Anolis sagrei: one gene and its partners. The protein of the gene in region 1 purifies or fractionates together with the protein of each later gene. This does not show direct contact. Links are inferred from orthologs where the notes say so. Each region holds a gene or a part of one and is shown in the gene's direction. Other genes may lie near its edges.

Region 1 (8,019 bases):
AAATGGCACATAGTCATTTCGATCAACCAAACACAAATTCTTAAATAAACATTCAAGATTTTTTTTTATGTTGAGAAACTGCAAGTTGCTTCTGGTATGAGAGAATTGACCATCTGCAAGGACGTTGCTGAGGAGATGCCTGGATGTTTTGATGTTTTACCATCCTTGTGGGAGGCTTCTCTCATATCCCCGCATGGAAAGCTGGAGCTGACCAAGGGAGCTCATCCACACTCTCCCCTGATTCGAACCTCCAACCTGTCGGACTTCAGTTCTGCCAGCACAAGATTTTAACCCATTGTGCCACTGGGTTGCCATAAGTCAGAAGCAACTTGAAACCAGCCAATAGAGATGAATGGATAGAGTTTTGTATAGTTAGAATTAGACAGAAATGTGGCCACCTCACCCACCCACTTAAAAAGGGTGAAACCAAAGCAATATGCAATGCAATTTAGAGAGCAGGGAATAAAAGGGATGCAGCATGTTTAGTGAACAGAGAATCCTTAACAAATGATAAAGAAAGAATGAGGAATAAAATGGAACAGTTGTGAAGATAAACAGATACATACAGTTCTACAAATTTTTATTTGTAAGTTCCCTTTGTGCCAGAATACTTTCAGACTACATTAACTTTCAGAATAACCAAAGATAAGCAAAATCAGTTGAACTAGCTTTCACGTTTTATTTTGTCAGAACAGAGGAAGCTTTTCTAGTTGTTCATTCTTAGTTTGTCCTTAAGTTGAATGTTTTGTGCTCTTCAAAACAAAAGGATGTGAAGTGGAATTCTCAAAACAATGATTCCTGAAAAGCTATGTTTTTATTTCCTTTTGTTCTCAAACACTAACCATTAGAATGTAAAAATACAATTGCATATCCTGCACTGAAGTATGCTGAATTGTACTTCTAATTTGCTTCTCAAAGGTTATTTATTTTGCTTTTGTTGCCAAACATTAGAGAATACAATTCAAAAACATTACACTGTACCCTCCAACAAAGCATGTTACTCTTAGTTGGGGCTTCCTATTGTTTTCTCTGTCATGAAAAAGCACTAAAAGCTCTCTTTGAATGAAATTACATCAGCACTGACACTTTGTAGCTAAATAATGAATTACTTAGTACATATAAAAAGAGAGAACTCTTTAAATAAAGATAATGCATGCTGGTGGCGCAGCGGGTTAAATCGCTGAGCTGCTGAACTTTTTGATTGAAAAGTTGGCGGTTCAAATCCGGGGAGTGAGGTGAACTTTCACTGTTAGCCACAGCTTCTGCCAGCCTAGCAGTTTGATAACATGCAAATGTGAGTAGATCAATAGGTACTGCTTGTGCAGGAAGGTAATGGTGCTCCATGCAGTCATGGTGGCTACAAGACCTTGGAGGTGTCTATGGACAATGCCGGCTCTTCGGCTTAGAAAAGGAGATGACCACCACTCCCCATAGTCAGACATGACTAGACTTAATGTCAGGGGAATACCTTTTGATGCATTAATGCAAAGCTATTAAGTTTTTGTATGGCCATGTTCCAGAAGCATTCTCTCCTGACATTTCCTCTACATCTATGGCAGGTATCCTCAGAGGTTGCGAGGTGAGGACCTGACAACTTCTGAGGATTCCTGCCATAGATGTGCCCAAGTCACACCATTGATCCATTTATTTCAGTATTGTCCACACTAACTGGCAGCAGTGCCCCAAGTTTTCAGTCATATCCCTTTTGTATTCTTACCAGGAACTGGCAAGGATTGAGCTGAATTTTTCAGATGTAAACCATGTAATTTAGCACTGTACCATGAGCTTCCTTAATTTAAATTAATTGATGATTTAGTGGGCCAAACTGTGGTTCCCAAACTGTGGTCCATGGACCACCAGTGGTCCCCAACAATAAAAATATGGTCCGTGGTTTCACTATTACTATACTGTTGCCTCAAAACCATGTGGCAACAAGAGCAACTGGTCTCACAAAATCCTCTTATAGTGCCAAGGCAACGGAGATGTCAGGAAGGGAGAGGCTGACTACCCATGAAAGACTACTACTACCAGATCTGATTTTCTGTGGGCGAGCAGATGGTGACTACTGGATGGCACATGTTCTGTATCAGAAACTAGAGCCAATGTGGTCTATCCAATGCCATTTTCTGAATCAGCACCCCAAACAACCAAACTGAATCTAAAGTTGACCAAAATCTGATTTATAACCCTTTTGGTACTAATGTTGGAGAGTGGTCCCTGTTCAAGTGGTCCCTGGTCAAATGGTCCCTGGTCAAAGTGATCTCTGGTCAAGTGTGTAGCAGAATGAAAATCACACGTAGTTCACCTCTTTACCAATCCATACACTGTCTTGCTAGAGAAGAGATATGCCACGCAGATGATCAGTAAAGAATAAGGTTTTTACTCTTTGTTATGCAGAGCAACATATAAACAGTCATGTTGCATTAACCCACACAATGTCCTTTGAGAGAGATTTAAATATTCCTTGGGTGTCCATGTGAAGGATCGTCTTTCAGCAGCTCAGAAGTAGAAAAAAAATTACTAACTTTTCCTGGCAAGCTCCTGTACAGAAAATCTAAACATGTAACTGTTGCCAAAACTCCCAGGCTCAGCTAGCATCCTGGGCATAGCTCAACCAATCAGCTTTGTGCTTTGCATTTTCAGTTAACACACTCGCCAACTGATTTTTACATGCTCCAATGAAGAGGTCCCTGGTACAAAAAAGGTTGGAAACCAAAGAATGAAATGTTTATTAATGTCCTATCCTAGCTATCCATTGAGATACCGAATCTGTGTTTTAAACTAGATTCCACTCACTTTGCCAGAACTAGCAACTCTCTTTATATAGCCCCTTCCTGAATACCCTAAAAGATTACTCTGAAGAGATGGGAAGAAAGGAGGGGAGAATCATAGATTCTGGCAGCAACAATGGGTCCTGCCTAAATGTGTGTTTCATTTCCTGTGCAAAAACAGCACTCTTCAAGATAGATATATCTCTCCTATTCTTAAACTGACCCTGGCCAAAGAATTGTGACACATTTGGTACAAGTGGAATGCTTGCTTTGTTTTTAGGGACACATTGACCCAGGAAATATTAGCTATCCTTATTCAGTGTGGAAAGAAAAGACAGTAAGTTAAAAATATCTGAAAGTGTTGGGTTAAATATTTCACATGTTTAAGTCTGTAGGAGTGGGACATGGCTATCTGCAGAACAGTTGATGTTCTGCCTTGTGTTATACAAGCTTTTAATAACATTTCTGCAATTCTGCCAGCCAGGGCCTTTGCTCCGTAACATCTTCAGGGTGCTGTTTTGTCTGTTTCTATTAAAAAAGTCTACTCCTAAAAATTAGATAACTAAGAGAAATAGGCTGAGAAGGGGAGGATGTAAGTGTTTTAGATGAAATCATAAAGTATTTTTGATCACCACAGTTTTGTCTATTCAGTTCCCTGAAAGCCCTTTTATCCAAATGTAATAATATGCAGAGGCGGCTCAACCCATTAAGCAAAGTAAGCATTTGCAGTATAGTTGATTTTGCCTAGGGGCGCTCTTGAGGCGCTCTTGGGGGAAAATAGACCTTGACATATGCAAGTTGTAGTTACTGGGATGTATAGTTCACCTACAATCAAAGAGCATTCTGAACTCCACCAATGATGGAATTGAACCAAATACGGCACACAGAACTCCCACGATGAACAGAAAAATATATATCAGTGATTGGTTGGGAGCACCAAAATACTGTTTGCTTACCATTGAAAATTGCCTAGGGTCGCCTCTGATAATATGTCATGTCCATTTTGCAGACTGAAAATTGAGATCCTGAAAGTTACATTATTAAGTGGCTTGATTCATGTTACATCAAAAGTAATTTGTTTAGAACAGTGTTTCTCAACCTGGGGGTTGGGTCCCCTGGGGGAGTCGCGAGGGGGTGTCAGAGAAGTTGCCAAAGACCATCAGAAAACACAGTATTTTTTGTTGGTCATGGGGGTTCTGTGTGAGAACTCCACCAATTCTATAATTGGTGGAGTTCAGAGTGCTCTTTGATTCTAGGTGAACTATAAATCCCAGCAACTACAACTCCCAAATGTCAAGTCTATTTTCCCCAAACTCCACCAGTGTTCACATTTGGGCATATTGGGTGTTTGTGCCAAGTTTGGTCCAGATCCATCATTGTTTGAGTCCACAGTGCTCTCTGGATATAGGTGAACTACAACTCCAAAACTCAAGGTCAATGCCCACCAAACCCTTCCAGTATTTTCTCTTTGTCATAGGGAGTTCTGTGTGCCAAGTTTGGTTCAATTCCATTGTTGGTGGAGTTCAGAATGCTATTTGATTGTAGGGAAACTATAATCCCAGCAACTACAACTCTCAAATGACACAATCAGCCCCAATGAATGAAAATACATCCTGCATATTGGATGTTTACATTGCCATTCATAACAGTAGCAAGATTACAGTTATGAATTAGCAACAAAAATAATGTTATGGTTGGTGGTCACCACAACACGAGGAACTGTATTAAGGGGTTGCGGCATCAGGAAGGTTGAGAACCACTGATTTAGATCGATGATTTAGGACTAATGTTTGAGAAAACTTTAGCAGAAAGTCTACAATAAAAAAATAACTAAGTATATTCATGATCGTTTTTTGTTATAGTTTTCTCTAAGCCGCATCTCATTTCCTTCAGCAACCATATTAAAACAATAATATTACCAATTCTGTTAATTCAAGAAAATAATTTCTAAATGGAAAACCGTTGGTTCATAACCTGTGAAAATACGGCAAAGAATACGATTTTAGAAACAGACCTAGAAATGAGTATGCATTTTGCAAAGACACAGCGGACTTAATCTTACTATTGTATAAATAAAATACTTGATAATCTAGTGCTATTGTTGCATATAAAGATAGAGATCTCTGGCTCACCGAATGGGGAGAAGAGGATTTAGGACCAACAGGTGGTCTTGAGACAGGCTGGCTGAGGGTCTATTCCCAGCTATCTGAACAGTGTGTTGATATTTGAGGCGTTTTCTTTCCTTTCTACACTACTCTTTCTACCTCAAGAGTAGCAAGCAGCCTTTAGCAATGGCAATAAGAAATGACATTAACAGGACTATTAGAAGGATAGCTCAGTTTTTTTATTGGTTCCCTAAGGCTTTGGGTAACCCACGAAGAAGGAAAATCAAACTTCTCTGCAAATCTTCTGGTAGGTTGTTCTTTCTTTTCTCGGGGGTGAAACTGAATGATGAAGTATTCATTTTTAATAGATGTGAAGTGCTTTCTTCTGACATCCTGTGTAATATGTTAGTGGTGCTACTTTTAAAGTACCTAATTCTTAAGACATGTACCTAGAACTAAAGGTATGTGAACCTGGCAATGTGTCATGGATACTAAAACTGAACTTAGCTCTTTGCCATACAGACACCAACTCTTGGCCACATCAACCATTATTTAATTATAGAACAACCAATTTGTGTGTGTGTGGGGGAGGGTCATTTTGTTGCTAGTGTCTGTTAATAACTTAGGGATCTGACTGTAGATATAGATCTATTTTCTGCCATATTTAGACAACATTCTTGTCCATCAAGGGGGTCTGACTGTTTATAAAGCTATTGTCCTCCCAACCCTGCTATACGCCTGTGAGACGTGGACTGTCTACAGACATCACATGCGACTCCTGGAACGTTTCCATCAGCACTCTCTCTGGAAAATCCTACGAATCTTCTAGGAAGATAAGCAGACAAATGTCAGCGTGTTGGAAGAAGCAAAGACAACCAGCACTGAAGTGATGGTCCTCCGCCATCAACTCTGCTGGGCCAGCCACGTTGTCTGGATGTCCAACTACCATCTCCCAAAGCAGTGCTCTACTCCGAACTCAGGAATGGAAAACGGAATGTTGTTGGGCAGGAAAAGAGATTTAAAGATGGGCTCAAAGCCAACCTTAAAAACTCTGGCATAGACACTGAGAACTGGGAAGTCCTGGCCCTTGAGCACTCCAGCTGGAGGTCAGTTGTGACCAGCAGTGCTGTAGAATTTGAAGAGGCACGAATGGAGGGTGAATGAGAGAAACATGCTATGAGGAAGGCGCATCATGCCCACCCCAACCGGGACTGCCTTCCACCTGAAAACCAATGTCCTCACTGCGGGAGAAGATGCAGATCAAGAATAGGGCTCCACAGTCACCTACGGACCCACCAGTACACTGATCTTGGAAGACTATCCTACTCAGACAACGAGGGATCGCCTAAGTAAGTAAGTAAATAATGTAAAGCACCTCGCGAGGTGCTTTATGCGCGAGTAGGCCGCGCGGTGCTGCTCCTCCCTTGACAGGCTCATGCTGCCCATCGCGCCTGATGGGCAGCATGAGCCTCGCGAGGTGCTTTATGCGAAAGTAGGCCGCGCGGTGCTGCTCTTCCCTTGGCAGGCTCACGCTGCCCATCGGGGAGGCTGCCCCGGTGCTCCATACAGTCATGCCGGCCACATGACCTTGGAGGTGTCTACAGACAATGCCGGCTCTTCGACTTAGAAATGCAGATGAGCACCACACCCCAGAGTCAGACACAACTGGACTTCATGTCAGAGGAAAACCTTTAACTAGGAAAATTGTGGAAGATCCAGGGTGGGAGAAAGAACTCTTGTCTGTTGGAGGTAGGTATTAATGTTTCAATTGGCCACCTTGATTACCATTTCATAGCCTGACAGTTTTTAGGGAGAGGTGATTAGCTGGCCCTGATTGTTTCTTGTCTGGAGTTCCCCTGTTTTTGGTTGTTGTTTTTTTCCCCCTACAGTTATAATTTTAGAGTTTTTGTAATACTGATAGCCAGATTTTGTTCAGACTAGAAATAGGAAGATTTCCCATTCTCTGCTCCTGGAATTACTGCCTAAAGAAGGTTAGAAAGAACCCCCTCTAAGGGCCCTTCCATACAGCAAAATAAGATATGTGCAATGTGCATAGGAATTTTTTTATTTATTTTTTTTAAAAAAATCTATAGTCCGGCCCTCCAACGTTCTGAGGGACAGTGAACTGGCCCCCAGTTTAAAAAGTTTGAGGACCCCTGGTTTAACCCATTGCGCCTCCTAATTTAAAGAAGTGATTTTGTTTTGTTGTTGTAATGTTCTGTGTTCAACACTAGAGGGAAACCAATCATGCTAATCCAGGTTGTTTTACTAGTTTTTTGTTTTGTTTTGTTTTTTGTCGTGTCAGGAGCGACTTGAGAAACTGCAAGTCGCTTCTGGTGTGAGAGAATTGGCCGTCTGCAAGGACATTGCCCAGGGGACGCTCGGATGTTTTGATGTTTTTAACATCCTTGTGGGAGGCTTCTCTCATGTCCCTGCATGGGGAGCTGGAGCTGATAGAGGGAGCTCATCCGTGCTCTCCCCAGATTCGAACCTGTGACCTGCCGATCTTCAGTCCTGCCAACACAGGGGTTTAACCCACTGCGCCACTGCACTAGTTGAAACCCATGATAGGGCCAGCCTACCATAAATTGGAGGTAACTGGAAGAAGGCACAGAGCAACAAGAACATATGTAGCATAGTTAACCTAGGTTAGAGGTATGAAAATGTCAATCTTGCTTCAATTTCTGAGAAAATAGCAACCTGGTATGTGTGCAATAACTTTTGGTTTTAAACAATTGGTTTTAATAAAGGTTTTAACAAAAGTATTTTTTAAAAATCAATCTGTTCATCTATTTATCATCTATTTATCTTGTTCTGTCTGTATAATACTTAGACCAGCTTGTAATCAAATATTTAAAAAATAAAAATAAAGGATCTATAGCAAGTTCTGTACTGCAGCCGAATTAAACAATCAGGTTGAAGCAGAAGTAAACTAAAACATTTCAAAAAAAACAACAACAATGCAATAGTATTGGTTTACATGACCCTTTGAAAAAGTGGTAAAACAAAATATTCTTTCCCTCTTGAGTAGGGTACCAGAGAACCCTCTGAAGAGAAAAACTCCCACAAATGACTAGACAACTGCTCATATTTTCTCATTCCTTATTGCTACTAAAAGATAAAGACAAGGCCAGCACTATATT
Region 2 (7,707 bases), on another chromosome or scaffold:
TACAAGCTGACCAAAAAGAATAAATATTTTATAAATCAAGTCAAATAAGAATGCAAGAATTGTATGCCATGGTATATAGTACCACTTGGATGCAACTGTACAAGATTTTTTAAAAATTCAATTGATCTTAATTCTCCTGTTGCCAGGTTAAACATACATAATTACAAAGTCATTTCACAAAAACCAGAATAGTAACAGTAGATATCCTGGAAACAGTTTTCCTAATATTGTAAGCGAATGCTGTGAAGCTGATACTTATTTCGATGTGAACACCACTGAAAATTGATAATTATTTTCTAAGTATATATGCATAGGATTGCACTCCATATCTTGTTCACAGTTAAGGTAAAGGTTTCCCTAGTCGTGTCTGACTCTGGAAGGTGGTGCTTATCTCCATTTCTACGCCAAAGAGCTGGCATTTTCCGTAGACGCCTCCAAAGTCAGGTGGCCAGCATGACTACATGGAGTGCTGTTATCTTCCCTCCATAGCAGTACCTACTGATCTACTCACATTTGCATGTTTTCGAACTGCTAGGTTGGCAGAAGCTGAGGCTAACAGCAGGAGCTCATCCCACTCCCTAGATTCAAACTGCTGAGCTTTCAGTCAGCAAGTTCAGAATCTCAGCAGTTTAACCCGTTGTGCCACAGGGAGCTCCGATCTTGTTCATGCACATCTAATATAAGCTCACAGGACTATATTCAAATTTAATTTATTTAAAAGTGTCCAATGAAATCAATAGGTTAAGTTATAGTAGTCATGAGTACAATACATTCCACAGAAAATACATTTCTGGCCTCTTAAGCTGAAGTCCAAAACACCTGGAGGGCCATAGTTTGCCCATCCCTGCTATAAACTCTACTTTTTTTTTTGTCGTGTCAGGAACAACTTGAGAAACTGTAAGTTGTTTCTGGTGTGAGAGAATTGGCCGTCTGCAAGGATGTTGCCCAGGGGACGCCTGGATGATTTGATGTTTTTATCATCCTTGTGGGAGGCTTTTCTTATGTCCCCGCATGAGAAGCTGGAGCTGATAGAGGGAGCTCATCCGCCTCTCCCCGGATTTGAACCTGCGACCTATTGGTCTTCAGTCCTGCCGGCACAGGGGTTTAACCCACTGCACCACCGGGGGCTCTATGAACTCTACTGATTTGATACTAATGTTGAGATACTTCAACAAAAAGCAACTAAAGACAAATGTAATGTGACAAGAGTTTTCCTGTATTATAAGAATAGCCTTGAGAATACAGTACTGAACTATATATTTTGCTGGTTGCTTGAGAGTTACAGTAGCTTGGGTTCCATTTTACAGAGAGCCTATTGTGTCTTCTTTCTTGGTTGCCCTGGCCTCAACTTGGACTAAACTGCTAACTACCTATGAACTGGTTGGATAAGACTGCCACCTAGTGTCTGAAGATTGTATTGTGGGCTTCACACACACACACACACACACAAACTAATATATCAACCAGCAACAGATCCCTTTTTGTCAACATGGTAGTCATTTAAAATTTGCACAATACATATTATTAGCATAGCACAATATCAGTATTATAGATTACAATATTGTACTATACCATTAGACTGTAATATTATTAATAATATTAATACATATATATATATGTAATTAATATATATGCATATATTAATATATAATAAACACGCATATATATATTATTAATAATATTACATATAATATAAAATATCTATATAAATAAAAATGTAATGTTTGTTTGTGGGATTAACAGAACTCAAAAACCACTGGGCAAATTTACACCAAATTTGGACACAAGACACCTATCAGGCCAACGAGTGTCCATTAGTCATTAAAACATGGAAAAAACACAGCGGAGGGACTTAAAAAGTAAAAAAACCCACCCCAAAATACATTACAACTCATGCACAAAACCACACGCATATATACACAAACACACATAGATACACATATATGCATATACACACACAAAATACATACACAGAAAAGGGGGAAGGAAGGAAGGAAGGAGAGGAGGGAGAGAAGGAAGGAAAGAAAGAAGGGTAGAGAAGGAGAGAGAAAGAGGGAAAGAAGGAGGGAAGGAGAGAAGGAAAGAAGGGTAGAGAATGAAGGAAGGAGAGAAGGAGGGAAAGAAGGAGAGAAGGAAAGAAAGAAAGGTAGAGAAGGAAGGAGAGAAGGAGACAAAGAAGGAAAGAAAGAAGGGTAGAGAAGGAAGGAAGGAGAGAAGGAGAGAGAGAAGGAGGGAGAGAAAGAGGGAAAGAAGGAGGGGAGAAGGAAAGAAAGAAAGGTAGAGAAGGAAGGAGAGAAGGAAATAAAAAAGTGAAAGGGAAGGAAGGAGAGAATGAACGAAAGAGAGAGAGAAGGAGGGAAGGAAGGAAAGAAACAAGGAAGGATGGAACTAAAGAGCAAAGGAAGCGAGAAAAGAAACAGATAAAGAAGGAAGAAAGAAGGAAAAGAAAAAGCGGGAAGGAAGGAAAAACGGAGGGAAGGAGAGAAATAAAGAAGGAGAGAAAGAGGGAGGGAAGGTTGGCCACAGCAACGCGTGGCGGGTACAGCTAGTATAATTATAATATCATATTATTATTAGTAGTATTATTATATTGGATTACATTATAATATTATAAATATTACATGTATATTATATATATATATATATATATATATATATATATATATATATATATATATATAATATGAGATCACGAAGAGTCGGAAACAACTCTGAATGACTGTCAGGGAGGGATCCCATGTTATGATTATTGATAGCATCCCTCTTTGATGTCTGAAATTCCACTCGCCTTGTTTGCCAATACACTATAAGCCAGTGGTTCTCAACCTTCCTAATGTTGCGACCCCTTAATAGAGTTCCTCAATTTGTGGTGACCCCAACTATACAATTCTTTTATTTGCTACTTCATAACAGTAATTTTCTGCGGTAATAAATTGTAATGTCAATATCTGATATGTAGGATATATTTTTATTCACTGGACCAAATTTGGCACAAATACCTGATGCACCCCAAAACAATATTGGTGGGGTTAGGGGGAATTGATTTGGTCATTGGGGAGTTGTAGTTGCTGGGTTACTTGCAATCAAAGAGCATTTTGAAATTCACCAACGGTGAAACTGAACCAAACTTGGTACACAAACTCCCATGACCAACAGAAAATACTGGAAGGGTTTTGAAGTTGTAGTTCAACTGTATGGAGAGAGTAAACAATGATGGATCTGGACCAAACTTGGCATGAATATACCCAAATGTGAATACTGGTGGAGTTTGAGGAAAATATACGTTGACATTTGGGAGTTGTAGTTGGGGGAAGTTTGACCCAATTCTATCCTTGGTGGGGTTCAGAATGCTCTTTGATTGTAGGTGAACTATAAATCCCAGCAACTACATCAACAATAGAAAACTCCCATCAACAATAGAAAATACTGCGTTTTCTGCTGGTCTTTGGCAACCCCTCTGACACCCCCTCGCGACCCCCAGGTTGAGAAACGCTACTGTAAGCAATCACAGTTATACAAAAAATCAGGAGATCTTCGAAAGCTTGCCATGATGCATTTTGAGCATTTTTGTACACGTTTGAAATTTAGCAAACCCGGATTATTTCTGAATTTGACAGCTGGAAACGTTTGTCCAGATTGGAAGGAAAGGCAAGGCTTTAAACCTGTCCTCTCCTTTCACAAAGGGTGTTAAACCTGAGGGGGGAAACGCCCACCTTCTCCCATCCTGGGCTGTGTGTGCCCCCTTCCCTCCCTCGAGACTACAATTCCCAGCATGCCCTGGCCCCCCGCCGACCGCAGAATTCGGGGAGCGGGCTCGCGCGCTGCATCCTGGGAGTCGTAGTCCTCTGCTTCCCCCTTCACTGTGGCGACGTCGAATAGGTCTCGAATTCCCTTTCTTTTCCACTTTGACTTAAGCACCTCTCTCTCTTCTCACTATCCCCGCCTTGTCTTTCCGACCTGTCAATCTTCCCTCCTGACAGGGATTCAAATGTCTTGTGTTCCCTTTTTTTTTTTGTCGTGTCAGGAGCGACTTGAGAAACTGCTTCTGGTGTGAGAGAATTGGCCGTCTGCAAGGACGTTACCCAAGGGACGCCCGGATGATTTGATGTTTTTAATCATCCTTGTGGGAGGCTTCTCTCATGTCCCCACATGGCGAGTTAGAGCTGACAGACGGATTCAAGCCATATGAAGAGGTGGAGCCTCTCCCCGGATTCGAACCTGCGACCTGTCGGTCTTGAGTTCGGCCAGCACAGGGGTTTAACCCACTGCGCCACCGGGGGCTCTTGTGTTCCCTGTACTTCCATCTCTCCCTTTCCTTCCTCCCTCCAGGACGCGCGTGACACGAAACAGCGGCGCGCGCTCTTCTCTCTCTCTCTCTCGCTCTACCCGGCTCGAGCGCATCTCTGGTGTTGTGAAAGAGAGAGTGAGAGAGAGAGAGAGGCGAGCTGTCAATGACGGTCTCGCGGCACTCAGGAAGGAACGCGCGCGCGCGCGCACGCCTGCGTGTGTCGAGAGCGGCGAAGACGACTCTCTCTCGCGGCGTCTCGCAGCCGCGCGCGCTCTCTCTCTCTCTCGCAAGACGGAGAAACGAAAATTTTTAGAACTTAAACCGGCCGCTTGCCCCTCCGTGCCATTGGAGAGAGATGACAAGCATTCTCATAGGCTGAGGCGGGCCCCTGAGAGCGCGCGCGCGCACACACGCCTGCTTGCCTTGACGAGAGCGCGCGTGCTCCTGTTACGCGTCTTCCGCCTCCTCCTCTCCGTCCCTCCCCTCCTTTTCCCCGACCGGAGCGCCCTCCTCCTCCTCCTCCTCCTCCTCCTCCCGCTCCCGGACTGAGGCGAACGTGTGAGCAGCAGCGATGGCGGCCGCGGGGGCTCTGGCCAAGCACGACCAGATCCTGGTGCTCGATCCGCCCACCGACCTCAAATTCAAAGGTACGCCGTGAGGGAGGTGAAGCCTCCTCTCGGGGGGGGGGGGAGGAGGGAGGGCCTCCTTCTCCCCGGGAGCTGTGAGGAAATCGAGGGCGGCTTCCCTCGGGGCCTGTAAAAGGAGGCTTGGGCCCGTCGCCACTGGGGAGGCTCCGAGCGGGGAAACGGGACGAGACGTCGCCATCTTGCTGACGCTTCCCTCCTCGCGGCCTCCTCCGCCTCCTCGGGCCCAGGCTCCCGGTCAGCCAGCCAGCCAGCCAGTCGGGGGCTGGGGAGGCCTGCCTCGCTTTCCCTTCCCTTCCGCATGGCGTCGTCGCTGTCTCTTTCCGCCTGCCCTTCTCTCAGCTGAGAGCCGGACTGGCGCCTTGCCTCTCTCTCTCTCTCTCTCTCTCTCTGCAGGGATTACATGCATATGCCTTTTCCACCAGAGAGACAAAAATACATTCTCAGGGCCCTTCCACACAGCCCTATATCCCAGAATATCAAGGCAGAAAATCCCACAATATCTGCTTGGAACTGAGTTATCTGAGTCCACACTCAGATAATGTAGGATTTTCTGCCTTGATATTCTGGGATATAGGGCTGTGTGGAGGGGTCTTCATTCAGCCTCCCTTCACGGGCTTCCAGGGCCCCATCTACACTGCCATACAAAATCCAAATTCTCTTCTTTCAACTGGGTTATATGGCAGTGTGGGCTCATACTGTATAATCTAGTTCGAAGCAGATCCTGTGGATTGTCTGTTTCGATAATCTGGATTATAGGGCAGTGTAATTCAATTCAAAGCAGATAATGTGGATTATCTGCTTCCGTAATCAGGATCGTATGGCAGTGTTGAAGGGGCCCAGAAGAGCCAACAAAAACACCTTTTCTTGTCGATATTTTCCCATCCATATCGCCGTCATTTCCAAAGTAGAATCATTGAGTTGGCCATCCAGTCTAACCCCCTGTCAAAAAGCAGGAAAAGCCATTCAGAGCACCCTCTGCCACTCAGGGCCCCTCCACACAGCCCCATATCCCAGAATATCAAAGCAGAAAATCCCACATTATCTGAGGGTATACTCAGATAACCCAGTTAAAAGCAGATACTGTGGGATTTTCTGCCTTGATATTCTGGGGTATAGGGCTATGTGGAAGGCCCCTCACATACCACTCAGGGCCCTTCCACACAGCCCATTGAGATTCTGATCGAGCATGGTGGAAAAGAATATCACATCCATTGCAATGCTGACGGTTCTGAGGGCCCTTCCACAAAGCCCTATATCCCAGAATATCAAAGCAGAAAATCCCACATTATCTGATAACCCAGTTCAAAGCAGATATTGTGGGATTTTCTTCCTTGATATTCTGTGATATTAGGGCTGTGTGGAAGGGCCCTGAGTCTGTTTCACCTCCCAAATCCCTTCTTCTGTGTCGCAACTGTGACAGGCTCATATGAGACGGAGGCTTCCGGGAAGCTGCTTCCCTGCCTTTCCCTGTGTTGTGTGCGCCAGGCCCAAGATGCGGGTGGATGGATGGATAGATGGATGTTCTTGGCTTGTATAATAATAAGGCTGGGAGGAGGATCAGAGCCTCACACGCTTCCTCCTGTATTTTAGGCGTTGTCTTCCCCAATCCCCCACGACAGGCACCCACCCCCACATTACACACACGCCCCTGCCTCTTCCTGCTTTGAATGTTGCCCCTCCGGAGCCTACTCTCCTCCTCCTCCCATGCAGAGTCGTAGTGGTGGCATTTTGCACCAACGCCCTTTGATGTGTCATCCAGGAGCACAGCTAGGGGCGTTTTCTACACTAATTCTCCTGACATTTCAAGTGTTGTATTTTGTGAATACCACATTGAAATCTGTGTGTTGCATTCTACGTGAATTAAAAGGCAGTTCCCGTTGGTTCGAACCTCTTCTTGAGAGGTAATAATAATTCCCTGCCAAGTGCTGAGAAGTTTCCGTGAGCTGAATATTTGTTGCTTCAATCCTCAAGGCCCTTGCACACAGCCATATAACCCAGAATATCAAGGCAGAATAACCCACAAAATCTACTTTGAACTGGGTTATCTGAGGTATCTTCCTGACAGATCCTATATCCCAGGATCTGATCCTAGGTTTTCTGTTTATCCCAGATTATCTGGCAGTGGAGAGTCATATAATCCAGTTTAAAGCAGAAAGCCTTGGATCAGATCCTGAGTTATAGTGCCTGTCAGGAAGGGTCGTCAGTCAATACTGCCATATATCCCATGGTCCTTCCACACAGCCATATAACACAAAATATCAAGGCAGAAAATCCCACAATATCTGTTTTGAACTGGGTTATCTTGAGTCCACACTCCATATATCCCAGTTCAAAGCAGGAAATGTGAAATTTTATTCAGTTGTGTGGAAGGGGCTTCAGTTTATCTATAGTTGGGAAAAGCTGTTTATTATTATTATTATTATTGTTTACACAATGGGGTGTTTGGCAGGACAGTACTGAAAATTTTGAAATTGAAGTGGCATTTTGAATTTAGCCAGAGCTCTTGAAGGGTAGCTGTCATAATACAATGAAACATCCCTGTTACAAAATTGTACTTCAGCATTGACTAGCACAAGGTTCCATAAATGTTGAGAGAATAAATCTGGCCATTTTTGGCAGGAATTGTTGTTATTTACAGACCGGCTCAATTAGGTGTAGGGAGTGGTGTGAACTTGTAGCAGTTAGAAATACTATTACCCCTCTTGAGTTTTTTGAATAAATTAAACTACAACTTTGAGGGCAAAAATCAGAATAATTTCATTCTGAAATCAG
Region 3 (7,969 bases), on another chromosome or scaffold:
TTCCAGAGGTGGACACAGACTTTCCAAGACTCGTCTCATTCCAGAAAAGCTGCCCCTCAACAGCTGATTGGCACTCCCCAGATCAATCCCTTCCAGGGGAATCCCTGCATGGAGGTGACAAGTCATAGAGACAGCGGCCAATGGGAGCCCGGATCCAAACCAGCTCTTCCTCTAGCCAATCAGGGAAGGGAGTCGGTGGAGCAAGAAAGTTTAAATAGCTGTCAAGTTTATAAAGTCTTGTGTCTCTGTATTCGCGAACATGTGTGTATTTTTGGTGCTAGCTGTACACGTAAATATCTGGCCAGGTTGCAAATAAGCCTCTGTTACTGCTTTCAGTCTTGGTGAGTGTGCTTTCAATTGGGAAAAATCTGGTTTAGCATAAAGCTCGCCGGGCAGGGACGTGCATTACCGTGGTCCTTACTCTAAATTTGATCCCATATTTAATGCAGTTCAATGTAGTTAAACTGCATTATGAAATTGTATTATAGGGTAATGTAGATGGAAACTCAGGAACAAACTTAATTTTTGTCACTATAGGGTAATGCTCAGTCATTTCTTTTTTGAGACGTCTTTTTTGAGACGTCTCGCTAATGACATCATCACAATAACACCCTGATTTTCACCAGCAGTCTGTCAAATAAGAATCCCACTGGATGGTATGCATTTGCTAGCAGATATTGTAGAAATTTCCCTTACGTAGCAGAACCATATATGCAGATTATCAATCTGTTTATTGAACTGTAAATGCAGATTGTACATTACTGTGCATCTTCTTACAGTCCATCTTCTTTTTATTTTTCCCTGGGCCCCTTAGTTACATCTGGTCTCTCAGTGTGAATAAGATTACTAAAGCTGATAAGGGAACAGACTTCTGCTCTGCCTGTTTTCTCTTTCTTTGGTTTAGTTCTAGACAAATGTAGCCAAGGTTATTGGCTGATTTATGTGGTGCATTCTCTTCAACAGGGCAAGGTTCTCTAACACCATACTTCGAATCCTCCTCACACCCAATGCAGAGCGAGCGTGTCAGATTTCCATCTCTCATTGTTGCAGTTTCATGTTTCTGACACTAATGTTCATGAATAAAGAGACTGCATTTCTCTTTCTCTCTCATCCAGGTCTTCAATAATAGAGGGAAACGGATAAACCATGACATTGATGTGATGGAAATCAATGTGGCTGGCTATTCTATTCTACTGATATAAAGAAAGCAACAAAAAAGAGGTGGGGAGGGATGGATGGATGATTATTCGCAGTCTGATCAGGAATTCCTTAAATGTAAGGTTTTATTTCATAAGGGAAAAAACTCCTACTGTATATACCCTAACCTAAGGTTTGATCTACACTGCTCTATATTCCAGGATCTGATCCCAGATTATTTGTTTTGAACTGGATAATATGAGTCTACACTGCCAGATAATATAAGTAGATAATCTGGGGTCAGATTCTGGGATGTAGCACAGTGTAGATTCAGCTTCAGGCTCCTTCTACACAGTTATATAATCTATCTTTGACTGGATTATATAGCAGTACAGACTCATATAATCCAGTTCAAGGCAGATAATGTGGATTATCTGCTTCGATAATCTAGATTGTATGACAGTGTAGAAGGGGCCTGAGTCTACACTACCATATAATAGATTTCAAAGAAGATAATCTGGATTTTATATGGCAGTGTAGAAGGGGCCATAGTCATGCTTTAGTAACACTGTGGATCAATTGCTATGATGCTTGATTTTCAGTTTGAAGAAGGAAATTCCTTTGATTGTTTATTTCTTTAGTATAAGTATATTTAACCAGAAGCAAATAGTATTTTCATTTTTTCCTGCACTTCAAATGCCAGATTATTGTGATGTTAAAATTAGGTAACAGGAAAAGGCCACTAAAGGGATGTATTTGGTCATGAAAAATCAGCCGCTTGACAGTTCATAATAACCATACAGCTGTATAAAATCCACATTGAACCAGATTATACGGCAGTGTGACTCAGATAATCCAGTTCAAAGCAGATATTGTGGATCATCTGCCTTGATATTCTGGGTTATATGCCTATGTGGGAGGGCCCTTAGATTTTATGTTTTACTTCCAGGAAAGATGCGTGCCTCCTTTTCTATCTGAGGGCCATTCCACACAGCCCCATATCCCAGAATATCAAGGCAGAAAATCCCAAAATATCTGCTTTGAACTGGGTTAGCTGAGTCCACATTGGCATATATTCCAGTTCAAAGCAGATAATGTGGGATTTTCTGCCTTGATATTCTGGGATATGGGGCTGTGTGGAAGGGTCCTGAGGAACCAAAATAATCCAACTGGCCTAGGCCAGGGCTTCTACACTCACAAGCTCTTTCATCCTGAGAAATCTTTATGTGATCTCAGATATATATGTATATATAAAACATTTACTGATTTGCAAGGCTTGCTAAACAGCCTGGTTTCCCTTTTTATAACAACAACAATAATAACTATAATATATAATGTATAATAAATAATAATAATTATTATTATTTATTATACATTATATATTATAGTTATATTTATAATATAAATAATATAAATATTAGAACAAATGCCATCAAAGCCAGAATTGAAAAGTCGATGACAGATCCCAAATGCAGACTCTGCAAGGAAGCAGATGAAACAATAGATCACATCCTCAGCTGCTGCAAGAAGATCGCATAGACAGACTACAAACAGAGGCATAATACCGTTGCTCAGATGATTCATTGGAACCTGTGCCATAAATACCACCTGCCTGTGGTAAAGAACTGGTGGAATCACAAGCCGGAAAAAGTTACAGAAAATGAACATGTCAAACTACTCTGCGACTTCCGAATTCAGACAGACAGAGTTTTATGGATTGTCAATCTTGCAATCCTAGATGACAGCAGGATTGAAGAGAAACAACTGGAAAAGCTGACATGATATGAGGATATAAAGATTGAACTGCAAAGACTCTGGCACAAGCCGGACAAGGTGTTCCCAGTGGTGATCGGCACAGTGGGTGCAGTGCCTAAAGACCTTGGCCTGCACTTAAACACAATCAGCGCTGACAAAATTACCATCTGTCAGCTGCAAAAGGCCACCCTACAGGGATCTGCATGCATTATTCACCGATGCATCACACAGTCCTAGACACTTGGGAAGTGTCCAATGTGTGATCAAATACAACAGCCAGCAAAGTGTTTTTGTTTGCTGTGGACTCATCTTGTATTTCACATAATAATAATATAATAACTTTATTTCTATACCCTCCCTCCATCTCCTTGAAGGGACTCGGGGCAGTTTACATGAAACCAAGCCCAGTCAACAGTTAAAACATAACATGCAATAATCAATATAAAATGCAATAATCAATATAAAAACAACATAAGCAACATTATAAAAAACAATAAAACAAGCATCAGGAACAACCACCAATTCAAGTCTCATTGTAGGAGGATGGTCTGGTACAACAATTTAATGGTAGGTCTAATGTGTATAGGTGATAAAGCAGCAAAAGGATAAGAGCTGCACTATTTCTCAGAGAAGGCTAAACCCCTGATAAAACTACAACTAGACAATTAAGACTTTGGATAGAAAAGTAGTAAGGGGAAAGGACAAGATCTTTTTTATGAAGTGCGGCAGCCGCATCTTCTACTGAGCCCACTGTAAATGCTGCACAACAGGTTCATGTAAATGTCTAAAACAGCCACTAGGTGGCATTTGGAAAACTTTTACATGGCCAATTTTTTTAATGACCCATTTGGGGTTGGTACCCATTGTTTAAGAAACAGGGCTTCTTAAACTTTTCCACCCGTTTTGGCCTGAAAACATTTTATGTGACCCCAGATATTGAAGAATAAAATAAGTATAAAAACCAAACATTTACTGAAAAGAAATCAGCATTTGCAAGGCTTGCTAAACAGTTTGAGCATCCCTCATCCTGAAATTATCTAAATGGGTGACAGAGTGCGTCTACACCGGGCATGGACAAACTTCATCCCTCCAGCTGTTCTGGACTACAACTCCCACTATTCCTAACAGCCTCAGGCCCCTTCCTTTTCACCCTCAGCCGCTTAAGCGGCTGAGGGTGAAAAGGAAAGGGCCTGACGCTGCTAGGAATTGTGGGAGTTGTAGTCCAGAACATCTGGAGGGATGAAGTTTGCCCATGCCTAGTCTACACTGTAGGATTAATTCAGTTTGATACCACTTTAATTGCTATGGCTCATTGCTATGGAATCCTGGGAGTTGTGGTTTGCATTATTTCTCAGAGAAGGCTGAACACCTGATAAAGCTACAGCTTTCAAGATTCCACAGTATTCAGCCATAGCAGTTGAAAGGGTGTCAAAGTGGATCAACTCTACAGTGTAGATGCATCCTAAAACAGTGACATCTTTGCATCTTTGTGTTATGATGGTTCAGTGTGCACAAAATTATTACAAAACATGGTATACAATAATCCTCAGGCGAGGTGTACCAGGTGTATATCAATCCAGGTGTATAAAAATCACTCTCCTAGGTTCCTGTAGGTTTTTTCGGGCTATAGGGCCATGTTCTAGAGGCATTTCTCCTGACGTTTCGCCTGCATCTATGGCAAGCATCCTCAGAGGTAGTGAGGTCTGTGGAAATAGGAAAATGGGTTTATATATCTGTGGAATGACCAGGGTGGGACAAAGGACTCTTGTCTGCTGGAGCTAGGTGTGAATGTTTCAGCTGACCACCTTCATTAGCATTTGAAGGCCTGGCTGAGCCTGGGGAAATGTTCTGTTGAGAGGTGTTAAGATGTGCCTGGTTGTTCCCTCTCTGCGGTTTTGCTGTTGAGTCCTGTTTTATGATGAGCAAAGACTACATTGCCCAGCATGCACCGTTCCCCATTGGGAGACCATATTGGCGCGGTGCATGATGGGCAAAAGAGCCCTTACGGCCCTCCGTCGATGACGTATTACGATGACGTAATCCCTCCCTTCTGGTCCCTCCTGGCCATTGAGTCCCTTCGTAGATTCACCGGGCCTGAAGCAACTTTCTCTTCCGCTTTCTGGCTTTCCGACTGGCTTTTGCGAGGGCCAATAGCCGTTAAGCAGAACCCCCTTGCAGCCAATAGGAAGGGTTGTGGGTGGGCCAACGCTTGAGTGGCAGAGGGGTTGCGATTGAAGTGCGGCTCCGGAAGAGGAGGGGGCGTTTTAAAGGGCCAGCAGCGGGCGAAAGTTGTGAGGAGAGTTTCTGAAGGGGATCCTTCCTCGGCCAGGCCCAGTCAGGGGGACCTGCGGAGCCGCTGGCGTCAGGATGGAGCAGGCCGCGCCGAAAAGGTAACAGCCAGCGGCCTCCCTTTCTCCCCGGGGAAGGGGAAGAGGCGGGCGGGTGGGGACGAGGCTTTCCTTGGGCGCCAGGAGGAAGGAAGCCGGGCTAGGCCGCACCGCAGCTCTGCTTTGATTCCCCCGGGAGGCCTTCTCCCTCCAGAGGCCTCGCTCTGGCCCTGTGTTGGAGGGACTTTGGGGTCACAAGGAGGCACCCCGCCATCTATAAACACATTCATTGAATTCAGTAGGAGCAGAAGGAGAGAGAACTTCAGTAAAGGGGGGGGGGGTGCCCTTTCACTTTAAATAATCAAAATCATAGTTTATTGTCCAAGACATTCATGGCCTGAATCACTGGGTTGTTGTAGGTTTTTTCGGGCTATATGGCCATGGTCTAGAGGCATTCTCTCCTGACGTTTCGCCTGCATCTATGGCAAGCATCCTCAGATGTAGTGAGGTCTGTTGGAATTGAGAAAAGGGATTTATATATCTGTGGAATGACCAGGGTGGGACAAAGGATTCTTGTCTGCTGGAGCTAGGTGTGAATGTTTCAAATGACCACCTGTTTCAAATAATCAAAATCATAGTTTATTGTCGAAGGCTTTCATGGCCTGAGTCACTGGGTTGTTGTAGGTTTTTTTGGGCTATATGGTCATGGTCTAGAGGCATTCTCTCCTGACGTTTCGCCTGCATCTATGGCAAGCATCCTCAGAAGTAGTGAGGTCTGTTGGAATTAAGAAAAAGGGTTTATATATCTGTGGAATGACCAGGGTGGGACAAAGGATTCTTGTCTGCTGGAGCTAGGTGTGAATGTTTCAAATGACCACCTTGACAGTGGCTTGACAGTGCCTAGAGCAGTATTTCTCAACCTGGGGGTCGGGACCCCTGAGGGGGTTGCTAAGGGATGTCAGAGGGGTCACCAAAGACCATCAGAAAACACAGTATTTTCTGATGGTCATGGAATTCCATGTGGGAAGTTTGAGCCAATTCTATCGTTGGTGGAGTTCAGAATGCTCTTTGATTGTAATAAACTATAAATCCCAGCAACTACAACTCCCAAAAGTCAAGGTCTATTTTCCCCAGGCTCCACCAGTGTTCACATTTGCGCATATTGAGTATTTGTGCCAAGTTTGGTCCAGATCCACCATTGCGTGAGGCCACAGTGCTCTCTGGATATAGGTGAACTACAACTCCCAAACTCATGGTCAATACCCACCAAACCCTTCCAGTGTTTTCCATTGGTCATGGGAGTTCTGTGTGGCAAATTAGGTTCAAATCCATCGCTGGCGGAGTTCAGAATGCTCTTTGATTGTAGGCGAACTATAAATCCCAGCAACCACAACTCCCAAATTACAAAATCAATCATCCCCCAACCCCACTTACATGTGGGTGCATTGGGTATTTGTGCCCAGTTTGGTCCAGTGAATGAAAATACATCTTGCATATCTAATATTTACATTATGATTTATAACAGCAGTAAAATGGCTGTTATGAAGTAGCAACGAAAACAATGTTATAGTTGGGGGTCACCACAACATGAGGGACTGTATTAAGGGGTCGCGGCATTAGGAAGGTTGAGAACCACTGGCCTAGAGCTTGACAGTGCCTAGAGCTTAGCCGGTATTGCACCACCTGACATCCGCCGAGAAGTAGCACCCAATAGTGAAAGGGCCAAGGCAGAGACATCTCCAGCTCATCCCCTGTTTGGGTATCAGCCAGCACGTCAATGACTTAAATCAAGACATAGTTTTCTTAGATCTACAGAGACACTCGCTGGAACACCTCAGCAAGCGAGAGTCCAAAAGTGGCAGGCCTAAACCCAGCACCTCAATCCATGGGTGATACCAGATGAGAGACTCCCCCCTGGGCACACAGAAGACTGGGCGACTTGGAAGGCGCTGAACAGACTGCGCTCTGGCACCACGAGATGCACCACGAGATGCAGAGCCAATCTTAAGAAATGGGACTACAGGGTGGAAACCACGGCATGCGAGTGCGGAGAAGAACAAACCACTGACCACCTGCTGCAATGCACCCTGAGCCCTGCCACATGCACAATGGAGGACCTCCTTGCGGCAACACCAGAGGCACTGCAAGTGGCCAGATACTGGTCAAAGGACATTTAATCAACTACCAAGTTTTTTGTTTTTTTTAATCTGCGTGTTTGTTTTGTTCTGTTAGAAATGTAATACAGTGGTATGGTTGCTGATGACACGATAGATAAATAAATAAATAATGCCTAGAGCAAACTTTTGTTGAGAGATGATTAGATGTCCTTGTTTGTTTCCTCTCTGTTGTTGTGCTGTTGTAATTTTAGAGTTTTTTTTAATACTGGTAGCCAGATTTTGTTCATTTTCATGGTTTCCTCCTTTCTGTTGAAATTGTCCACATGCTTGTGGATTTCAATGGCTTCTCTGTGTAGTCTGACATGGTGGTTGTGAGAGTGGTCCAGCACTTCTGTGTTCTCAAATAATATGCTGTGTCCAGGTTGGTTCATCAGGTGCTCTGCTATGGCTGACTTCTCTGGTTGAAGTAGTCTGCAGTGCCTTTCATGTTCCTTGATGCGTGTCTGGGCGCTGCATTTGGTGGTCCCTATGTAGATTTGTCCACAGCTGCATGGTATACGGTAGACTCCTGCAGAGGTGAGAGGATCATCTAACCACCTCTCAACAAAAGTTTGCTCTAGGCACTGTCAGGCC
Region 4 (7,099 bases), on another chromosome or scaffold:
CTCCAAAACACAAGGCTGGTTTTAATTTTAATTCCTAACTATGGTTTGTCATCATAGAAACACTGAGGAATAGGCTCTTTTGCTTAACTGCATTTTGCAGTGCTGCTAAAATTAAAAAAAAATGTGGTTGATGTTAGCAATAGAAGTAATCTACTCTCAGATCATAAATCCGAATGGTTGCACTACTATAGTTCAAATGACACCCTAAATGGTGATGTACATAACATGAAACTAGAAAAGCTTATGATTTCCTTATAGCAGTGATGCAAGCAAGCCTAGAAGATAGTCAGTTTTGAAATGCAAAAACATTTAGTGTTATGTCAAGACACAACTGGGGAATGCCAAAGAGCTAGTACCACTCAGATACCTAGGATGCACCAGGGTAACTAACAGAAAATATTTCTGTTTTTGACAGCTTGGGACCTGTACTTTCAGTGATCCCTTTTCTACTATGGATGGACTCAACACTGACATTTAGACTGCATTTTTTCACATAATATCATGACTTAATTACACTTACAAGCATTCATCTAAAGATTACTAAGGAGTAGTATAGATATGTACTTGCAGACATGGTATGAGTTATATTAACACCAAATATTTTATCACACTCAATGCAAATCCACCATATTTATTTATTTATTTATTTTATTAATCAATTTTAAACTCCCCGAAGGCTCGGAGCAGTCTATAAAATCTATATAAATAAAAATGTAATGTCCGTTTGTGGGATTAACAGAACTCAAAAACCACTGGATGAATTGACACCAAATTTGGACACAAGACACCTAACAACTCAGTGTATGTCCTTCACCCCCCCCCCCCAAAAGATTTTGTCATTTGGGACTTGTAGTTGGTGGGATTTATAGTTCAATCAAAGCATTCTGAACCCCACCAATGATGGAATTGAACCAGACTTGGTACACAGTTTTCCCATGACCAACAGAAAATACTGGAAGGGTTTGGTGGGCAGTGTCCTTTGGTTTTGGAGTTGTAGTTCACCTACATCCAGAGATCACTGTGGACTCAAACAATGATGGATCTGGACCAAACTCTTCACGAATACTCAATATGCCCAAATGTGAATACTAGTGGAGTTTGGGGAAAATAGAATCTTGACATTTGGGAGTTATAGTTTATGGGATTTACAGTTCACCTACAATCACAGAGCATTCTGAACCCCACCAACGATAGAATTGGGACAAACTTCCCACACAGAACCCCATGACCACCAGAGTGGGCCACAGCTAGTTGATTAATAAATGTGAAGAAAGCTAGAAAATGTCACAGTAAAATGTATTTCTCCAACAACCATAATCATTTGCAACCACCAACTATGCAATAATAATAATAATAATAATAATAATAATAATAATAATAATAATAATAATAATTTACCACCCTATCTTCCTGAGGGAGCACAGGGCGGTTCCCATCCAGACCTCTGCAACGCATGGCAGGGGGTGGCTAGTTGGATAATAAAACTATAACTATAACAAAATCAATAAAAACATGAACATTAGTGTCTCCTATTAAAAAACATTGTTCAATCACATCGTCCAACCATTCCATTTTCCTATGTCTATTACACTATATTTGGAAATGCCTGCTCAAAGAGCCAAGTCTTGACTCTCTTTCGAAATGTTAAAAGGAAGGGGACCGATCTGATATCCTTAGGGAGGGCATTCCATAACCGAGGGGCCACCACTGAGAAGGCCCTGTCTCTCGTTCACGCCAGACGTACTTGTGACGAAGGCGGGACCGAGAGCAGTGCCTCCCCAGACAATCTTAAAGTCCTGGAGGGTTCATAAGATGCGTTCGGACAGGTAAGTTGGGCCAGAACCGTTAACTGTTTTGAACTGGATTCATTATAAGAGTCTACACTGCCCTATAATCCAGTTGAAAGAAGATAAGGCAGGTGTGGGAGGGGGATGGTAACTAGACCCCTATAGATCCTATAATAATTTTCTTCAGCCAGCACCTTAATCACTGACTTGGACATCACCTCAGCCTTGTTGACTTGTAAATGCCTTTTTACTTTTAATATTTTGAGTGTTTGCATTTTCTTGCCCTGATGAAGGGAGTTGGACTGGATGGCCTTAAGTATTTTCTGTTGCTCATGGGGGTTCAGTATGGGAAGTTTGCCCCGATTCTGTCATTCGTGGGTTCAATCAAAGAGCATTCTGAATTCGTGGGTTCAGAATGCTCTTTGATTGTAGGTGAACTGTGAATCCCAGTGACTACAACTCCCAAATGTCAAGGTCTATTTTCCCCATACTCCATCTGTGTTAATATTTGGGCGTATTGAGTGGTTGTGCCAAGTTTGGTCCAGATCCATCATTATTTGAGTGTACAGTGCTCTCTGGATGTAGGTGAACTACAACTCCCAAACTCAAGGTCAATGCCCACCAAGAACCCTTCCAGTATTTTCTATTGGTCAAGGGAGTCCTGTGTGCCAAGTTTGGTTCAGTTCATTCATTGAACTCCCAAATGACAAAAGCATAATTTTTTGAGTGATGGTCACTCCTTGTCTTGTGAGATGTTTTGTTGCCAAAATTTGGTGTGATTTCGTCCATTGGTTCTTTTGTTTTTAAGGTACTCATTATGCACAGAGCATTTATATATATATAGGTTCTTGCGGGTTTTTTCGGGCTATAGGGCCATGTTCTAGAGGCATTTCTCCTGACGTTTTGCCTGCATCTATGGCAAGCATCCTCAGAGGTAGTGCGGTCTGTTGGAAATAGGAAAATGGGTTTATATATCTGTGTAATGGCTGGGGTGGGGCAAAGAGCTCTTCTCTGCTAGAGCTAGGTGTGAATGTTTCAACTGACCACCTTCATTATCATTTGAAGGCCTGCCTGAGCCTGGGAAAATCTCTTGTTGAGAGGTGTTAAGATGTGCCTGGTTGTTTTCTCTCTGTTGTTTTGCTGTTGTAATTTTAGAGTTTTTAAATACTGGTAGCCAGATTTTGTTCATTTTCATGGTCTCTTCCTTTCTGTTGAAATTGTCCACATGCTTGTGGATTTCAATGGCTTCTCTGTGTAGTCTGACATGGTACTTGTTAGAGTGGTCCAGCATTTCTGTGTTCTCAAATAATATGCTGTGTCCAGGCTGGTTCATCAGGTGCTCTGCTATGGCTGACTTCTCTGGTTGAAGTAGTCTGCAGTGCCTTTCATGTTCCTTGATGCGTGTCTGGGCGATGCTGCGTTTGGTGGTCCCTATGTAGACTTGTCCACAGCTGCATGGTATATGGTAGACTCCTGCAGAGGTGAGAGGATCCCTCTTGTCCTTTGCTGAACATAGCATTTGTTGGATTTTCTTGGTGGGTTTGTAGATGGTTTGTATGTTATGTTTCCTCATCAGCTTCCCTATGCGGTCAGTGGTTCCCTTGTAATGTAATGTTTGTTTGTGGGATTAACAGAACTCAAAAACCATTGGACGAATTGACACCAAATTTGGACACAAGACACCTAACAACTCAGTGTATGTCCTTCACTCAAAAAAAAAAAAGATTTTGTCATTTGGGACTTGTAGTTGGTGGGATTTATAGTTCAATCAAAGAGCATTCTGAACCCCACCAATGATGGAATTGAACCAGACTTGGCACACAGTTTTCCCATGACCAACAGAAAATACTGGAAGGGTTTGGTGGGCAGTGTCCTTTGGTTTTGGAGTTGTAGTTCACCTACATCCAGAGATCACTGTGGACTCAAACAATGATGGATCTGGACCAAACTCTACACGAATACTCAATATGCCCAAATGTGAATACTGGTGGAGTTTGGGGAAAATAGAATCTTGACACTTGGGAGTTGTAGTTATTTATTATATTATAATCTGGATTCAGAAACTCGGATTATAGGGCAATGTAGATGGGACTTCAGCCAAACTACAGCTCCCACGGCTCCACAGCCTGGGACTGGACTGAACTCAGGCTGCTGCGCGAGCTCGGCCACGCCCATCGAGGGGGCGGGCTTAATCTCCTCCAAGAGTTTGAGGAGGGGGGGGGAAGCAAGCACGTGGTTCGTGCCGCGCGCGGCTCTCTAGCGGGCGGGCTTCGGATTGGCTGTTGCCGGGAAGCGGAAGTGGGCCTGGTGCCTTGGGAGGGCGGGGCTGAGCGAGAGGTTCTTCTCAGAGCCCGGCAGCACGCGCGAAGGGATGGAGCGACGGCGGTGAGTGAAGGAGTGAGTGGTGTGTGCGGCGCCCTTGGCCTCCCTCACAGCCTCTTCCCTCAGTCGGGGGCAGAAGAAGAAGAGGAGGAGGCCGCCATGGAGACCGTGCAGCTGCGCCACCCGCGCCGGTGAGAAGCTCTGGAGGGCTTGAGGGAGGGAGGGAGGAGGCAGCCTCGAAAGGGGGGAAAGGAGGGCGGGGTGGGGCCAGTGCTTGAGGCAAAGGGGAAGGTCGGCTGGGTGTCAAAGGCTTTCTTCTTTCCCCCACTGCCTCCCCGCCCTTCTCAGGCCTTCCTTTTTTCCTCCTCCTTGGGGAATGTATTTCATCCCGATGATGATGATGATGATGATGATGATGATTATTAGTTGTAGTATTTATATCCCGCTTTCTCTCTCTTCAGTGTGACTCAAAAGCAGCTAACAATATTAAAGAATAAAAGTGCACAGATTAAAACAAAAAGGATGTAAACAAATATTTATTTAAAACTAGCGTTGCTGTGTCCAATCTCCCCTTCCCCTTTCTCTCCTTCTCTTTTTTCTTTCCTTTTCTCCTTCTTTCTCTACCTCTCCTTCCTTCCCCTCTCTTTATCTTCCCCTTTTTTCTTTCTGTCTTTCCTTCTTCCTTCCTATTCTTGGACTGCAACTCCCAGCAGTCCTCCTGATCGATCGATCTACCTACCTATCTCTATGTAATAATAATAATAATAATAATAATACTTTATTTGTACCCCGCTACCATCTCCGAACCCGAACACAACAATACAACAATACATGAGGCCGAGCCCGAACACAACAATACAAGCAATTAAAATAAAAACATAAACAATAAACATATCACATTATCAATAAGACAACATACAATTAAAAACTGTGGGAAGGCCAAATGTAAAATTAAAATTGGAAATAGTGCTGAAACATGGGCGAAAAGGTGATAGTGGCGTTTGTGGAAAGACGTGTAATCTATCTATCTTATCTATCTGGAGGATTGCTGAGAGTTTATTTATTTATTTATTTATTTCAAAGTTTTCTATACCGAACTTCTCAATCTCATTGAGGGACTCAGCCCGGTTTCCAACCATAAAAACACATACACTCATTAAAATATCATATATCACAATTACAATAACAAGTTTAAAATAACACTATATATAAAACTACGGTGGTCAGTCGTCATATTAAAATCAGATCTACATCATCTTCCATCCAGAATCCTAGGGTGTTGTCTCATTCATCGAAAGCCTGACTGCACAGCCACGTCTTCACTCGTTTCCTAAGTGTCAGGATAGACGCGGCGGTTCTGACCTCCGGTGGGAGAGAGTTCCAGAGTTGCGGGGCCACCACCGAGAAGGCCCTGTCCCTCGTCCCCACCAGACGCGCTTGAAAGGCCGGTGGGACCGAGAGCAGGGCCTCTCCAGATGATCTTAATAATCTTGATGGTTCGTAGGGGAGAATACGTTCGGAGAGGTAAACAGGAGAGTTGCAGTCCAGGAATACGAAATTGGAAATATGCACTGTATTGTTGTTTAGTTTTTTTTTGGTTTTTAATTTTTTTTTTCCGCTGGCTTTTTTTTTGGGGGGGGGGGGATATGAGTTATGGTCACTCATTGGTCTGTTAAGGGTATAGTGTCCAAATTTTGTGTCAATTCGTCCAGTGGTTTTTCAGCTATGTTAATCCCACAAACTAAAATTACATTTTTATTTATATAGATAACATATATCCTATTATTATTATAATTATTATTATTATTTTTATTAATGAATGCCCTGATTTTTCTGTCTTCAAAATAGCTCAGGAGCAGCTAATAATATTAAAAAATAAAATGCACAAAATTAAAACCAGAAAGATGTAAACAAATGTTTATCTCAAAATATATACTCTGTTTAATATTATTTATATCCCACTTTTTCTGTCTTCAAAATGATTCAAAAGCAGCTAACACTGTTAAAAAATAAAAATGCACAAATTAAAACCAAAAGGATATAAACAAATATTTATTTTTTAAAAATATTAGTATTTATTATCTCCTTTTTCTGTCTTCAAAATAACGCAAAGCAGCTAACAACATTAAAAAATAAAAATGCACAAATTAAAAACAAAAAGATGTAAACAAATATTTATCTAAAAACATGTACCCTTCTTCTTCATATTCCCCTTTTTCTCTACAAAAGAGACTCAAAGCGGCTTCAGTAAAACAAATGCAATACAATTTAAAACCTAAAAATATACAAACTTTAAAATCTTTGCATTTGCTCCGCTTGCCCTTCTTTGTCAAGCATCTCAGGAGAAATTTTGTCATCCAAGAACATAAACTTCCCTTTACGGCACTCCATGAGTGGTTTAACTGCCATGGTTCAATGCTGTAGGAACATGGGGATTGTAGTTTTACAAGATCTTAAGCCTTTTCTATCAAAGAGGTTTTATGTCTCACCATACTATAGGTACCACAGGTCCATAGCAATGAGCCAAGGCAGTCAAAGTTTCAAACTGCATTAGTTTTGCAATGTGGATGCAGCCTTGGAGGTTATCAGATGGAGATGAGATTCCCAGTGGGTATAAATAGTGGAATACTTTCTATTTGATGGGGGAAGAAGATTTCTTTTTACGTCTTCCGTACATGTATACACTCTTTAAAAATAATACTTTTTTTTACCCACAGCTTCTCAAGTCATGGTACAACATAGTTAAAATACACAGATAAAAATATAAGCCCATTTAAAATGTGTAGGTTAAAGCACATTAAAATTATTCATATTAATAAAATGTCAGCTTTCTTCACGGTGGATTTGGATTGAGTGTGATCAAGTCTTCGGTGTTAATATAACTCATACCATGTCTGCATGTACATATTTGTACTATCATCCATGGTAGAAAAAGTTTCACTGAAAGTACAGGTCCCAAGTTGTCAAAACTGAAATATTTTCTGTTAGTT

The links.
Region 2: the proteins of RASSF3 (region 1) and VAPA purify together in Homo sapiens (co-immunoprecipitation; 3 studies listed by BioGRID and IntAct, with this or other methods). This does not show direct contact. The link is inferred for Anolis sagrei from reciprocal best matches to the Homo sapiens genes RASSF3 and VAPA.
Region 3: the proteins of RASSF3 (region 1) and STK3 purify together in Homo sapiens (affinity purification with mass spectrometry; 4 studies listed by BioGRID and IntAct, with this or other methods). This does not show direct contact. The link is inferred for Anolis sagrei from reciprocal best matches to the Homo sapiens genes RASSF3 and STK3.
Region 4: the proteins of RASSF3 (region 1) and STK4 purify together in Homo sapiens (affinity purification with mass spectrometry; 5 studies listed by BioGRID and IntAct, with this or other methods). This does not show direct contact. The link is inferred for Anolis sagrei from reciprocal best matches to the Homo sapiens genes RASSF3 and STK4.

The regions. Positions count from the first base shown.
Region 1 is NC_090025.1:141,289,921-141,297,939, forward strand, and holds the start of RASSF3 (ras association domain-containing protein 3), read left to right. Parts: upstream 1-5,017; 5' UTR 5,018-5,062; coding exon 5,063-5,183; intron 5,184-8,019.
Region 2 is NC_090024.1:64,967,888-64,975,594, forward strand, and holds the start of VAPA (vesicle-associated membrane protein-associated protein A), read left to right. Parts: upstream 1-4,694; 5' UTR 4,695-4,859; coding exon 4,860-4,935; intron 4,936-7,707. UniProt on the Homo sapiens protein: Endoplasmic reticulum (ER)-anchored protein that mediates the formation of contact sites between the ER and endosomes via interaction with FFAT motif-containing proteins such as STARD3 or WDR44.
Region 3 is NC_090024.1:31,779,574-31,787,542, forward strand, and holds the start of STK3 (serine/threonine-protein kinase 3), read left to right. Parts: upstream 1-4,956; 5' UTR 4,957-5,259; coding exon 5,260-5,282; intron 5,283-7,969. UniProt on the Homo sapiens protein: Stress-activated, pro-apoptotic kinase which, following caspase-cleavage, enters the nucleus and induces chromatin condensation followed by internucleosomal DNA fragmentation.
Region 4 is NC_090024.1:217,653,861-217,660,959, reverse strand, and holds the start of STK4 (serine/threonine-protein kinase 4), read left to right. Parts: upstream 1-4,090; 5' UTR 4,091-4,268; coding exon 4,269-4,300; intron 4,301-7,099. UniProt on the Homo sapiens protein: Stress-activated, pro-apoptotic kinase which, following caspase-cleavage, enters the nucleus and induces chromatin condensation followed by internucleosomal DNA fragmentation.